Linked DNA regions of Arabidopsis thaliana. The protein of the gene in region 2 interacts with the protein of the main gene of each other region in a pairwise test. Each region holds a gene or a part of one and is shown on either strand. Other genes may lie near its edges.

The links. Proteins that work in one complex are often made in the same cells at the same time.
Region 1: the proteins of AT5G15500 (region 2) and HS1 interact in a protein complementation assay, tested with the Arabidopsis thaliana proteins (one large-scale study listed by BioGRID).

What each region holds. Positions count from the first base shown.
Region 1 is NC_003074.8:5,878,451-5,885,671, forward strand, and holds HS1 (heat stable protein 1), read left to right. Parts: upstream 1-3,468; 5' UTR 3,469-3,515; intron 3,516-3,614; exon of another isoform or gene 3,615-3,626; 5' UTR 3,627-3,867; coding exon 3,868-4,007; intron 4,008-4,256; coding exon 4,257-4,446; 3' UTR 4,447-4,750; downstream 4,751-7,221. Other genes in the region: UPL6 (ubiquitin protein ligase 6), read left to right, coding at 48-188, 324-449, 568-666, 958-1,025, 1,132-1,198, 1,420-1,590, 1,680-1,769, 1,864-1,944 and 4 more; PMEI2 (pectin methylesterase inhibitor 2), read right to left, coding at 4,878-5,399; AT3G17225 (Plant invertase/pectin methylesterase inhibitor superfamily protein), read right to left, coding at 5,924-6,481.
Region 2 is NC_003076.8:5,030,305-5,038,387, reverse strand, and holds AT5G15500 (Ankyrin repeat family protein), read left to right. Parts: upstream 1-4,847; 5' UTR 4,848-4,944; coding exon 4,945-5,260; exon of another isoform or gene 5,261-5,539; coding exon 5,540-6,597; 3' UTR 6,598-6,740; downstream 6,741-8,083. Other genes in the region: AT5G15520 (Ribosomal protein S19e family protein), read left to right, coding at 252-335, 621-711, 796-979, 1,074-1,146; AT5G15510 (TPX2 (targeting protein for Xklp2) protein family), read right to left, coding at 1,800-2,001, 2,118-2,212, 2,299-2,358, 2,657-2,755, 2,876-2,995, 3,091-3,183, 3,296-3,341, 3,424-4,268.

The sequences.
Region 1 (7,221 bases), on a different chromosome or scaffold from region 2:
TGATAACTTGGTTGTGGTTGTATTGACTTGCTGGTCATCTTTCGTAGACACAATTAGCAACGGCAAGGCAGAGTCATGGATCGCAAGGAATTTTTGCTCGAAATCGGTTCAGAATACGAAGAGATCATATCTTGGAAGATGCTTACAATCAAATGAGTGCGTTATCAGAGGATGATCTACGGAGCTCGGTAAGTTCTTGCCCGATATTGGTCTTCTAGCAATTGCTTGGCTCACTACTGAAACAGATCCATATTTCGTCCCTGTGTCTCTCTGATTTGTTTATCTTTTGCGATGCTTGTGATGCAAATAACTACTGGCTGTAGATTCGTGTGACATTTGTGAATGAACTCGGAGTTGAGGAAGCTGGTATTGATGGTGGTGGCATTTTCAAAGACTTCATGGAGAAAATTACCCGAGCAGCCTTTGATGTGCAATACGGGTTGTTTAAGGTCATATGTCTAGTTTTGCTCACCCAAGTTTTTGTGGATTTGATAATTTACCTTACTCCATCATCTTTGCATTTAGTACGTCTATCTTTCTCTGAATATTGTACATGCTTTCTTTCAGGAGACCGCTGATCACATGCTTTATCCTAATCCTGGATCAGGAATGATACATGAACAGCATCTCCAGTTCTTTCATTTTCTCGGCAGTCTCCTCGCAAAAGTATGGTATTTGATTGGTGGCCTTGATGCGGAACTCTTATAATTTACCATTTTTTACTCCTGAAAACTTTTATATATAGGACAGAAAGCAAACTATAATGCTTACAGTGTACGCCACATTTGATTTTTAATACACTACTCGCAATGTTTTTCATGCAAATAGAATTAGTAGGCGTATAACTTGATGTTTTCCTAGAAAAATTATTGAATTTGTCCTTTTGTCGTTATTTAAAGTTGCTTTTCATCTGTTATATAAGACTCATAATTGTTTTTTCCCGTTATCTTGTTGCAGGCTATGTTTGAAGGGATTCTTGTTGATATACCATTTGCAACGTTTTTCCTCAGCAAACTGAAACAAAAGTATGTAAATTTAATTTCTACCTCAATTTCCTGTCACTTCATTCGTTTTTTAAGCCCGCATAGACTTTTTGAACATGTTGTGAAACTTCTATTGTTCTTTGGCTAGGTACAACTATTTGAACGATTTGCCTTCTCTGGATCCTGAGTTGTATAGGCACCTTATATTTCTGAAGGTGAGTTTTGCTGAACATTCTATTTAATTGTTGCTTTGTAGAACGGGGAGATAGTTGCTAGCATAGATGTGCGAGAATGCTGAAATCTGTTTGTTTGTTTTTGTTTCGAAACTGAAATTTGTTTGTTTACCTACCTACGATAATTTTGGCTCTTTTTTTTTTTTTTTTTTTTGCTTCTTAGCTTTATACACCTTTTTATGTATTCATTATGATATTTGCAGCGTTATAAGGGTGATATCTCAGACTTGGAGCTTTACTTTGTTATTTTGAATAATGAATATGGAGAGAGGACAGAGGAAGAGCTACTTCCAGGGGGCCAAGACATGCGAGTTACAAATGAGAATGTTATAACTTTCATTCATCTGGTTTCCAATCATCGGTTAAATTTTCAGGTACTGGGGAACCACTTACCTCTCATTTATCTTGGCATACCTGAGGTCACCCTGTAAATCAACAGCTATTGATATCATCTCATTTGCAGATACGCCAGCAGAGTTCTCATTTCTTGAGGGGGTTTCAGCAACTCATTCCGAAAGAATGGATCGACATGTTCAATGAACATGAGCTTCAGGTGCCAATTAAGTGTATAATTATACTTGCTTTGTTAGTTGTTCCCTCGAGGAGCATGAAGAGAGAAATTTTACCTTTGTGGGCTTTGGTTGCAGGTTCTCATATCTGGTTCAGTTGATAGTTTGGATATAGACGACTTGCGAAACAACACTAATTATGCTGGAGGCTACCACGCGGTGAGTGGTTCTTCACTGTTAGCCGAAATGCCATTGTGAATTAGTGTAGGGACACTTTTGGAGTATTGTTATATATGATTATATCGCTATGTTGTTGACACTTGACAGGGACATTATGTGATCGATATGTTCTGGGAAGTTATGAAAAGCTTCTCAACTGAAAACCAGAAGAAGTTCTTAAAGTAAGCAAACTTTGCAGTTACTACTACAGTCTGTGTACGCAATGATTTACCGGAGTCTATGAATTTTCTAAGGGAACTAAGAGGTACCTCTATTTTTCAATTTCAGGTTTGTGACAGGCTGCTCACGAGGACCACTGCTGGGTTTCAAATACTTGGAACCTGCATTCTGCATACAGAGGTAATATACACAGACTCACAATCGTTTTGACTTTTGATGGGCCCTGGACAATAGAATCATAAAATATCCATCCTCGATGGAATGTGTATCAGGGCTGCCGGTAGTGCGAGTAATGAATCAGTTGATAGACTACCGACATCAGCCACTTGTATGAATCTTCTTAAGCTTCCGCCCTATCAAAGGTTTGTCCTCTCATAACACAAACTCTTTGGTTTTGCTTAGCTAAGAGACTTGTTTTGTTGCCAAATAGCTTCTCTTGGTGTTGTAATTGGAAAAAGCAAATAAAGCATGTCTTGTTGTTAATGATGCAGCAAAGAGCTACTTGAGACCAAATTGATGTACGCCATAAGCGCAGAAGCGGGTTTTGATCTGAGCTGATGGAATAGCTTCCTGCCTTAAACACAGACTTCAATGGCCCCAAATTGACACCCTTTTTTCTAGCATTCCTCGTTATGGTATAAACCGGGTAACCTGTAGACTGAGGCAGGCTTGTTGGCTCTAAGCATCTAAGAGACGGATCTAGAAGGAGAACATGTAGTAGAGATTACTTGACTAATGGGTTTCATTTGCAGCTCTCGGGTATTCGCTTTCAAAAAGTGTGACAAAAAAAAAAAAGTGATTACAGGGAAGTCTTTATTTGGAAGCTCCTGAGAGTTAGTCTTGGGTTAAAAATTCAATAAAAGAAATGGTAAATAAGACTGGTCTCAAGAGGAACTTAAATGCTGTAAATTATTTTGCTTAATTAATGCATGTTACACAGAACATAGATGATTATTTTGATACTTATTTGCATCATACCATATATCTTCTATAAAAAGATGCATTTTAGTGACTTAGTGGTAAGAATATCCTTTTTTTTTTTTTTTTGTCATATGATAATTATTAAAACAGAAACAAAATGACAGAAAAATAACGAGAAATACAAAATGAAATTTAAACTTTACTTTCCTTAGACACTTGATTGTGAAGTCATGAAGGCTCTCCAAGTGCTAAGTAAAACTTAGACTGAAACCTTCTGTCTTGAATCACACTCCCAAGAAATGGAACGCGCGATCAGATTTGCGTTTGTGGCAATATGACGGAATGTACAAGATTCAAATGCACTAACAATCTCATGGATTTGTGTTAACCAATTTCTATAGAAAGGCTATTTGGACGGCTGCAAAACGGCGTTAAGTGCGGCTGGACAGTCCAACTCTATTATCACCGTGGTAAGAATATCTCTATATACATTTTTTGTCGCACTTATCATGATTAATCAAGTAAACATAATTGTTACAAACACTTTATAAATTAAAAAAGCTTCAATTCAATTTGCACAGAAAAGAAAAAAAAAAGAAGAAGATTCAATACAGAGTATACCAGGAGCATCTGGTAATGTTTATATCTGAGGACGTTTTATTTAATTTTTTGGAACGAAAACAATAATCCGACGATCGTATTTGCACGTCGCAAATCCGCTCTTTTAATCAAAGATCTCGACCGTCCATTTTTAGTTAAGACTTTAGAGAGCTGATAAGTGGAATAGTGGAGATTTGCATTCGCAGGGGATAAGGATCAAAAATGGAGGAAGCAAAGGGACCTGTGAAGCACGTATTGCTTGCTAGTTTCAAAGATGGGGTTAGTCCTGAGAAAATCGAAGAGCTCATCAAAGGTTACGCCAATCTCGTCAATCTCATCGAACCTATGAAAGCTTTCCACTGGTTAGTAAATTTGGATTCTGAATTGCTTCCTAGTGTTAGACATATGCTCGAGATCCGAAAAACACTTCCATCAACTCAATATGATTATGTAAAACTAAGCAATTTGGGGAAATTCATGACCTTCCTAGTGTTGATCTAATTTCCCTCAGAGAGAATCCATCTCCATTGATGATCTTTTGAAAAGTTAAATCAACTAAATCGACGAATCTGCTCTTGTCTTATTGAATTATTGGATCTGTATAATTTTAGGGGAAAAGATGTGAGCATTGAGAATCTGCATCAAGGTTACACACACATCTTTGAATCCACATTTGAGAGTAAAGAAGCTGTTGCAGAGTACATTGCTCATCCTGCTCACGTTGAATTCGCCACCATCTTCCTTGGCAGCTTGGATAAAGTTTTGGTTATTGACTACAAGCCTACCTCTGTCTCTCTCTAATTATCTTGTAGCAGCATTTTCATCATTGATCTTTTTCTCGGGTATGCATCTTGTATGTTGAATAAAGTATATTCCTTTTGAGTTTTCCTGCATTGTTCTCATGTTTCTCTGTGAATTTCTCTCTTTTTTGTTTGTTTGTTTGTTTCCTTCTGTTGTATTATACTTGATCTGTAAAAAGATCATGAGTTTATTAAGAGTGTTTGATTTCAGACTCCTCTTTGTTATAAGTCTATTACTAGTTGTTGTCTCTTAGTTTCTTTTATCAATAGAGTTGAGTTATATGGAATAACAAGTTGAAAAGAAACCAGGTTCTTGTTGATGTGTGGGTTGGAGAAAAAAAGTTCTTTGATTATATATGTAACATTTATGCATTACTGTTTAATGTAATCGTCTAATGAGTATGATGAAGGGAGATTGAATCAATCCCACTCTCACATCATGTTTGAGATGACAAGTACAATGCCACAAATATTCTGAAAATCACCACTGTTCTTCACAGCTGAAGGATCAACTTTGAAATCCGCCATGTCTTGTTCACATGTTGAAGGTCCTTCCATAGCTGCTGAAACCTTAATGTTCAACCCTTTGCCATCGCCTGACGCCAGGCTCTGCTTAGCATCATTGAGACTGCTTATTGCACTCTTATAATGTTGTACACATGAGGTGTATGCTTTCTTCATAGTGGGGTTGGTTGCTGTCTTGACTAGAGATTGAATTTTCCTGAAACCTTCTGATGCACTTGTTTGTGCAGAACCAAATGTGATATTTGCAAGCGTTTGAAGATCAGCACCTGAGGTCTTTGGGTTGGATTTCATGTAGCTCGTACAGAAGGATTGGTTTTTCGCTTTTCCACATATCGCTTTTATGTCTGCCACTTGTGCGTTCAAAGAACCAGTCATTACAAAAAACATCAGAGAAGACATTAAAACTCTGTTCGTCAGGTATGCTGCCATCTTTGCTTCTTTCTTTCTTATGTTCGTTGGTAGATGATGGTTAAGTTATTCCCTTACTATGCCTGACTATTCATATTTATAGATGCATGCGATTGATTGCTTCCACTAGAACTAATAATAGAAATGGGTTGTTACTCTTTCTGATTCTTAGTTAGACCACAAGTCCTTATGTAAGAGAGAGAGAAAACTTTGCTATTCTTAGCATTAGTGCAGAGACAGTTATCTGATTAGTATTCGTCTAACTTACTTTCCTGACTTCTCTTCTTTAGGTAGATATGCATTCACTAATATGTGTTCATGATTTGTTGGTGCTAAGAAAGATTACTGTAGGAAGAGGTTCTATGGAGATAATTGTCATAAATATACACCAGAAGTAACGAGAGATTAAAGTCTTAGCTGAGATGCAAGACACGGTAATTTTGACTATGAATATATTCATTTATTGGTCTTTAAGTTACTAGTACATCAGCGTGAATGACATTTAGTAGTTTCTGCCTTCTTGCAGGTGAAAGATACATAAAGAATCAAGAAGTCAAAACGTCGGAGAAAACCCTATCAATATTACACATTCTCTTAAAAAACAAATTGAGTTTTGCTACATAAGCCGGCACATTTCCTGCAAACTGAGCTTCACACACTGATATACTAATGAAGGCTTTAGCAGCCCCTTGAGATGCTAACGGGTACGCCTTAGAGGTCACAAACCCTTGAGCTTCCTCGATCGCTTTAATGGCTCCTTCATAATCTCTCACGCAAGTCTCAAATGGGATCTTGAGCGTCGGATCAGTCGTGGTATTCACTGAGCCTTTCATCGCCGCTAGGTTCTTATTGCCCAATAATTGCGTCTTTTGGAAGACTAAATCGAGAAGACCTTGTAGGTCGAGGGTATATGTTGTTGGATCAGAGATTAGCCAAGTGATGCAGAAGTTGGTGTCAATGTGCGGTTCTGTGCAGAGTCGGGATAAGAAGGTTTTTGTGACTTTGTCACTCGGAGACAAAGATGAAGACAAAGGGGTGATTGATAGAAGAAGGAGTAGAGGAAGAAGTGAAAATACGTTTCTTTTGACGCAAGGATAAGCCATTGTCTTGGCTGCGGAAAGATAATTATGCGTATACTTGAGAGTCTGGGAGGTTCTTACTGCATACTAATATTAATATACATAGTTTTTGGACGACAAAAGTCAAGTTTTAGCTTGGTGTTGTTGATGAAATGTTACCCAAATTTGTTTTTCTTAGTCAATTGTTGACTCTAATTAAACACCTTCTTCTTTAGTTCAATATAATTCGCAATCCACCGTTGTTATTCGATTGATTAAGTTAAGAAAAATATCTTTGACTTTTGACTTGGGGTTACAAGAAAATCTTACACTTTCAGGAGTTTTGTTTTTGAAAAGATTTCAAAATCTTGGGTTATTAAATATATATTATATCATACAAAACTCCCAAAACTTTCTTTTTATTTTTTGTGCAAAACAAAACTCCCAAATCTAAACATAGGAATTCTATGGATGAGTGTCCGCATTCCAAACAGTGTTTTATATCTTCTTTTGAGTATTGTTTGTCGTACGTACTATTCAACTATCGTTTTCGTAAGTTTTTTATGACAAACATAGTACATATTTAAAGGAAACGAATCATTCCCAAAAATTTGAAGCAAACTGAACACAATCAATTAGGGCTACAATCAATCATACAGAGTGAAAAAATCATATCGAATTTGGTTTATTCATTTATTGGTTTTAAGTTACTAGTACATGAGAGTTAATGACATTTAATATACCCCTCCATTTTTATCTATTTGATGTTTTAGACGAAAAATTCT
Region 2 (8,083 bases):
TCAAAAACATATCTTATCTTTATAACTTTCAGTAGCTAAAATAATAATTAAGACTGAACTACACTTTTAACTGAAACGGAGCGTATAAGCCGCTTAAATAGATTTAATGGCCCATAATGGGTTAGGCGGGTCGATTCGGGTTCAGTGTGTCCGAAAAAAACCCTAATTGAAAATTGATTGCTCAGATATATATAGACTTTGTGACTGAAAATTGAAAGCTCTTGGCTTAACTTAACGGAGTGATTCGTGAAATGGCGACTGGTAAAACCGTGAAAGATGTTTCTCCTCACGATTTCGTGAAGGCTTACGCTTCTCACCTCAAGCGATCTGGAAAGGTTAGTGTTTTGATGCTTCTCTCTCAAGTTTGATTGATTCAGCTGAGAATCGAAAGACGTCACAAAAGGATCTGATAATGAGTTTTAGAGGAAACAATTGAGAGTTTGAGGGAGCTTCTGATATTGTAGTTCAATGTGTTGGTGTGATTTTGAGGCATTGAATACTATAAAACGACTGAGGAAGAGAGAAATAGAGATAGAAATGATAGATTCTTGATGTTAGTGATCATAGGCAGCTAATTGGAAATTCACTGTAATAATAGTTGTCTCTTTTGTCTGATTTAGATTGAGCTTCCTCTATGGACAGACATTGTGAAGACTGGTCGTTTGAAGGAGCTTGCTCCATATGACCCTGATTGGTACTACATTAGAGCTGGTAAAAAAAAGCTTAGCTTTCTCTTCGCTTGTTTTTGTTTTTATAGAGTCGTTATGAACGTTGTTGATATCTTGTATGGTGCAGCTTCTATGGCCAGAAAGATTTACTTGAGAGGAGGTCTTGGTGTTGGTGCTTTCAGAAGAATTTATGGAGGTAGCAAAAGAAATGGAAGTCGACCACCACATTTCTGTAAGAGCAGTGGTGGTATTGCTCGCCATATTCTCCAACAGTTGGAGACAATGAGCATTGTCGAGCTTGACACTAAAGGGTAATTCTTATTTCTTTCTAAAGGCACTTTTCGTAGGAAGACCTTGTTAGTGACTTACTTTCATCTCTCCTCCTTTGTTCATTCTTTGTCTCAGAGGGAGAAGAATCACTTCGAGCGGTCAACGGGATTTGGATCAGGTTGCTGGGCGTATTGCAGCTGAATCATGAAGAGCTGTTGTTCTCCTTATGCTTGCTTTGGAGGAGCCTCAAGAATGTTATAGATCTTTTTAGCTTTTGTGATTTTAGATCTCTACTCTCTTCTGCTCTGTTCATTTTGACGAACTAATTTGATATTTGATGAAGCTATTAAAGTTTTGTTCTTTACAGTGATTTTGTATCCCAAGTTTACTCTTCTTCATAGAAATCTCAAGAAACAATTTACTCTTCTCTATGAAAACTCTTCTGGTATGTCAGTCATATACAAATTTAAATTGGAAGATGATTTAAAACTCACATATGTTTCTTGACCAGAACTAAACCAATGTACACCGGATTCTGCAAACAAATGTATGAGAGGTGGAACACGGATTGAATCATAAGATAAGTCAGTTAAATCCAAATTCAAACTGGAGGATAAGTATTATATCTTTCTGAACCAGATCAAACCAGATTTTGCAAACAATATGGAATCTTTCTCATTTTCTTGGGTGAAGACCAGATTATTATTACAAAGGTGAAACAAGAATGATTGTCAAATCTATGAAACTGCAACTAATTGGTTACAGAAAGGTAATGTAGTTTTGAAAATGAGAATATGAACAAGGATGATATAGTAGTAAATCCAAAAGAAGCTTTCTAGAGAAACTGATATTGGAAATCGCTCATGCAGGAGCCAGTTTCACTCCAAGAAGATGAACTGCAGCATCTGATCTTCTTGTGTTGCGGTATGTGAAACTTGGGATCTCGTGGTGCAGTTGGATGTTTGCTCGACCTTTTAATGGTAAAAGAAAACAACAAGAAGCAACTGTGTCAGCTTTTGCAATGACGTTCATTGTTATAAGAAAGTTTACTCTATTAGTTGGTCTGTGAAAACTATATTGAAAACATATTTCTCACTTGAAAACAATATCTATATTACCTATCATGCTCTCATAATAAGAAAGATTCAAGAGGATAGTATTTATGTACCAGTCTTTTACCTTCTTGGAATGAATGGTCGATCAAAGTATGGCATTGGTTGTGCTTTTGGGACCAATTCTTTCCTCAGCCTTCTTATCTCTTCTTCCTCTGCCAACTAAAAACAATATTGGATTTATCAAAATCAGTTAAAGCAAAACTCTATTATCGGATATGGCCACAACATCTCATATTAAAGTTTACCTTCTGTTGTCTTTCTCTTTCCATTTTGTATTGCTCAATGAAGCTCATCTTCTCGGCAACCTAGAACAACAAAAATTCAGACTTTAACATGAAGAAATTTATGGAACAATGCAAAGTTACTATAGACAAGTCAACCTTGGCTACAGACTACAATACACACTATTTGACACTATCAGCTATTTTCCTTTCCGTCTCAAGTCTTAACACAACCAGCTGATAAGAAAACAAGTATACTCTAAATGATTTGACAGAATGAAATGGTTACTGAAGCCAAATCATGTCAGCGGCTATGTTTTAAGGTATCTTGAACTTCAAGCCCAACAAAATGTAGATTTAATCATTGCATTAGCAAGGTTACCTGGTAATCAAATTCTGCGCGTTCAACTGCCCGGACATCTGAGTGGAGCGTCAAGTCGACTGGTCTTGTAATGTCTTTCCAATGAGGCTTCACTAGGCACTGAAACAGAAAACAACATTAGAACTTTTCATAGTCAACAAGACATCATCTCTCACTATTGTTACTACTAGAGCTTACAAGATCAATTGAGATGTTAATAGGAAAGCAGAACATGCTTACCTCAGGTTCATCGGTTGTCCATGGAAGACCTTGAGCAATGGGGATTCTCATCTTTTCTTCCTCCATTGTTATTTCGTGTATCTTTTTTGCTAACTCTTCCTCTTTCACTTTACCTCTTTGCTGCAGAGAGACAAAAGACCAACCAACTGTCATGACTCAATTTCCACCATAAAATTCGAAATTTTTCTTTAGTTTTAATCTAAAGAAACTCATACCTCAGTTCTAAGCTTAAACGGCTTCAATGAAGTGACCTTAACCTGCTTCTTCTTTGATCTTCTACTTCCCATTGTAGTCGATGACTCCATGCTCTGCCATAAACAGAAATATCAAAATGATTATTAAACTATACTGACATACTAAGCAAGACAGACAACCATTAAACAGCTAAGAAAATTCAGATGCTGCATGCAGGACACTTACATTTCTTCTACTTCTCCTGCCAGCATTTGAACTTCCACTCAAAACACTGAAACATCACAATATCAAACTATTCAGAACAAGACAAGTTCATAATTTCAGTGAGATCTCTTAGTCAACAACAAACTAACCTGCCACGGGTGCTGTCCCAGGACGAAGAAATCGAAGCATTGGGGTCTAAACCCAGATTCTTAGCTGTTAAGACCATTTCAGATGGACAAAACGAAGAACTCCATGGGTTTTTCTCTTTCTCACCCTCCAAGAATTCCAATTTCACAGGTTTCTTCGTATCCTCTTCGGTTTGATTCTCTTCTATCTTGTTGGCAGTCTTTGAATTACTAAAGCAAGTGAGTTTCTCAAATGCTTCTACAAGATTCATCACTTTACCAGATACAGGCACACTTTGCCGTGCTTCTTCCACCACCTTAGCTCTTGATCTCTTCATTGTGGAAACGCCTGTTTTCTCCGGTTCTCCAGATTCTTTTCCTTCTAGTTCATCGCCATTTCCGAGATTACAGCATTCCTCCAAAGCTTCCTTATCCTCCTCTGATTCAATTCGATTTTTGAAGAACTCCTCTTGCGAAGCACGCAGAGTTTCATATGCAACACAAACACACTTCATGTTCCCCTTCTTCCTCTCTCCGCATTTACAATCTATCTCAGCTGCCTTGGATTCTGTAATCGCTGGCTCCTTCTTCCCTTTCCTCGAATTCTTCTTCGCCACCACAACAAACTTCCTCTCTCTGATCCGATTCCGGGGAGAGAAAACCGCCTGGGTAGGTTTAGGGCTCGGACTCGGATTCTTCTGCGCTGATTTCTTCGCAGATTTCATGAGCGGTGATTTAGAAGGACTCGCTTGTGAAATGTTAGGGTTTGCATTCTCCGATGATCTGGAAATCTTTTGATTGGACTGAAACTTGCTCCGATCCTTCACCGGAGTCCCTGCTTTCCCATTCTTCAATGTCAACGACTCCATCGAAGATAACAGAATCTGGAATCAAGAGAGTAACACGAACAGTAATCGATCTAGATTTGAGAATCTCTCCAACAAAAAAAAAATTGATCGGAGGTGAAGAATTAGGGTTTGTTCTTGCTATGGAGTATTGTAAATCGAATAAGAAGATAGATTTGGGGGAAAAATGTGACCGTTGCGGCGCTCTTTGGACGCTCTCTAATAACGGCTAGTCTTTTTGGTGCTTTTTTAATAAATAAACTTAGATTAGTAATAAATAATTATTTTCCTAATCTTGTCCGTTAGATTGTCAAATTAATGATTATGATGATTTTAATCCACGTTTAATGCCACGTCACATCCGAATTTCAACACTTTAGCAGCGAGTTATTTTGTACAATCTTAGCCATTAGATCAAATAGATGCTGGAGCCGATATGATCCACGTTGTACTCCATGTCACATCAAATTTTCAGACAATAATTCTTATTTATCTAATATCAACCGTTGGATTAAATGATCAGATACTGACGTGTCCACGTATACTGCCACGTCACCTATAATTTCCCACTCTTTTCCTTTTTTTGGGAACTTCCTTCATTCACAAACGAGTTATCATTTCGTAGCCAATTAAGTTTCATCATCATATTTAATCACCAAAAATATAATTCGCATCGTCGTTCTGTTCTCTTGAGTCACTAATGGACCAAAGATCATTAGAAGCTGCTGCTAAATCTGGAAACATCGATCTACTATACGAACTAATCCATGAAGATCCATACGTTCTTGATAAAACCGACCACGTGCCCTTCGTTAATACTCCTCTCCATGTGGCAGCCGTCAATGGAAAAACAGAGTTTGCCATGGAAATGATGAACTTGAAACCATCTTTTGCTCGGAAACTTAACGCCGACGGACTTACACCGTTACACCTCGCCGTGGAACACGGTCACTTCTGGTTAGTACTTGAAGTAGTTAAGGTTGATCCAAGTCTTGTTCGTATTAAAGGGAGACATGGTACGTACACTCACTTATTTTGTTGAACCCTTAATTATGTTTCTTAGTTTTTTCCAAAAGCTTTAGCTCTAATCAATCCGAACTAATGTTATAATATGTATCTAGTAAATTCAAATCTTGGAGATAGTATTGAAGTAGGACGAACAGTCCATTGAATACTAGTTTGAATTCAGTCTATTGTTGCTTTTGACTAGTCATTATGTCGATATTGTATGGTCAGATCATGAACTAGATTGGTTATACCAGGAGTGTTTAATTCATTTTTCTTGTCCAAAAAAGGTATGACGCCATTGCTAGTTGCGGTAAGTAGAAAGAAGATTGATCTGATGTCAGAATTCTTCTTGGGTTGTCCCGAAAGCATTGTGGACGCAAATGTGAACGGAGAAAACGCTCTTCACATCGCCGTGAATAACTACGACCAAAGAGAAGGATTAAGCGTTCTTAAAGTTCTCATGGGATGGATCTTAAGATTGTGTCAAAAAGATGCAGAGTGGATCGAGACAAGAGTCATAAACCGAAGAGACAAAGACGGTAACACGCCTTTACATCTCGCGGCGTACGAGATCAATCGTCAAGCTATGAAATTGTTGTTAGAGAGCTCCAAGATTAACGTCAACATTGAGAACAAGAACGGTTTAACCGTGTTCGACATTGCTGTGTTACACAATAACAGAGAGATAGAGAGAATGGTTAAGAGACATGGTGGAAAACGTTCGGTTTCTCTTGTCAAGATTAAGACAACATCGGATATACTCGCGTCGCAGCTTTCTTGGAGAGAATCGAGACGGACGAAGAAGATTCGGTTTTATTCTTGGATCTCTGAAGAGAGAAGAAACGCTCTTTTAGTGGTCGCAACTCTCATCGTCACAGCTACATATCAGACGGTTCTCCAACCTCCCGGAGGCGTGTCTGATGGCGGTGGTCAAAAGAGTGGAACAAGCGGTCCGAAAGCGGGTTCAGTGGTTATGGACGAGGTCTACTTTATCTGGTTATGGTTGTGGAACAGTGCGGGGTTCTGCTTTGCGATTGAGATGATGATACGTTTGTTGAGTTTAGGACAAGAGAGTATGTTTTGGTATTACCCTCTGTTCGTTCCTATGGTCTTGGCTTACTCTGTTGCAGGGGATGTGATCAAGCCGAACGCAAGAGCGTACACGATCGCAGGTGTGGGTGCGATCGTGGTTCTTATAATTTGGGGATTGGTAGTTTGGTTTTGGGAATGGGTGCAGTCTAAGAGAACCAAGCAACGTGGACCCAAGAGTGGATTGGTTTGGGAAGGTTTCACTACGTTGGATCAAGCTAGAGGTGTTGCGCCTAATCGGTATGTGATTAGGTAATCTTAATTTCCTCTTGTTATTTTATTGTTGCTTTTGTATTTTTATTCTATAATGTGTAAAATCTCTACTCGGGGTAAACCTATTTACATGAAATATCTGTTTATTATTTGCTTCTAATATTTACTCTACGTGATATGATGTGCATAAAAAGACTACATGATTGACAAGAGTATACGTTGCTAGAAAGTGGAAGGTGTCGTATGACGCATTCTAATTCGAATGTAAATTAGTAAAATAATTACTGAATCTACAAAAATCATGATTTTGAGGTTTTATGGTCACAGTTAAAGTAACATGGCAAACTTGTATACGAATCAAAAAAATATTGAACCATGTTATATTTGAATTCTTTTTCAATATATTTGGTTTCGATTTATATTTTTCTAAAACTATATATAGCTTTAATATTAAAATTTCAACCGCACTCTTCTTTTTATTAGTTATTTATATAATTATGCAAATATAGCTTGAGAAGCACTTCAAAAAGTGTGACTGAGTTTTTAAGCAAAGTGCAGTTAGTCTTTTGTCTGAAGTTTGTCCTGCAGACCTCACCACACAATCACTTAAGTACTCATATATACAAAATGGTTTTATAATAATAGATTAACATGTACATTATTGAAACTAAACACCAAACTTTGGGAAGTATATTATTACTATGAATGGACATTGACGCACAGAAAAGGATTCAAACCAATAATGTATATTCCTTGTTAATATTTCTCAAATTAAATAATATATTTTGCTGGTAAGAAATATGTCTATATATATATATAATATTGTTTAGTAGGTGAACAAATAATATATACATAGCTATTTTTGTTTTGAAGCATCAATTACCTCAAGAGAAAATTTAATAAGTGGAAAAAGTCAGAAAAATATGAATCCATAATATAAGTGATTAAGTGTAAAGGTTGGGGAAAAAACGCTAAAGAGATACAAATTGTCCAAAAAAACAATTAAAAAGGTACTTCCTTTTTTTATATTGTGGAGATTGGTAAGTCAGTTATATTTTCTTCAATGAAAGTAAACAATAGACAGGCAATAAATGAATTTATTTAGTTTCCAATATAAAATTTGAATATGTTTTAATATACAAAATAGTAACAATCCATAAAAGAAATATATATTTATATATAATTTACAGTTTATTTTGTTGACTGATACAAACATTTTTCATGTTTTTTTGGCAAATACGATAAAGTGTATTTAAGTTGGTCGAAATCCAATCAATGGAAATATGTCAAATGTTTAACGTGTCTTGAAGACTTTTTACAAAAACCTGCCAAATATTGTGAGCCCATCGTTTTTTCTACCTATGTCATTCAATTTTTAACTGATAGTGTTTTGTTAAATTTAATTAAGCAATACTAATAAATACTAAGACTTTTAAACAAAAACCTGCCAAATATTTTGAGCCCATCGTTTTTTCTACCTGTACATCATTTAATTTTTAACTGAAAGTGTTTTGTTTAATTTAATTAAG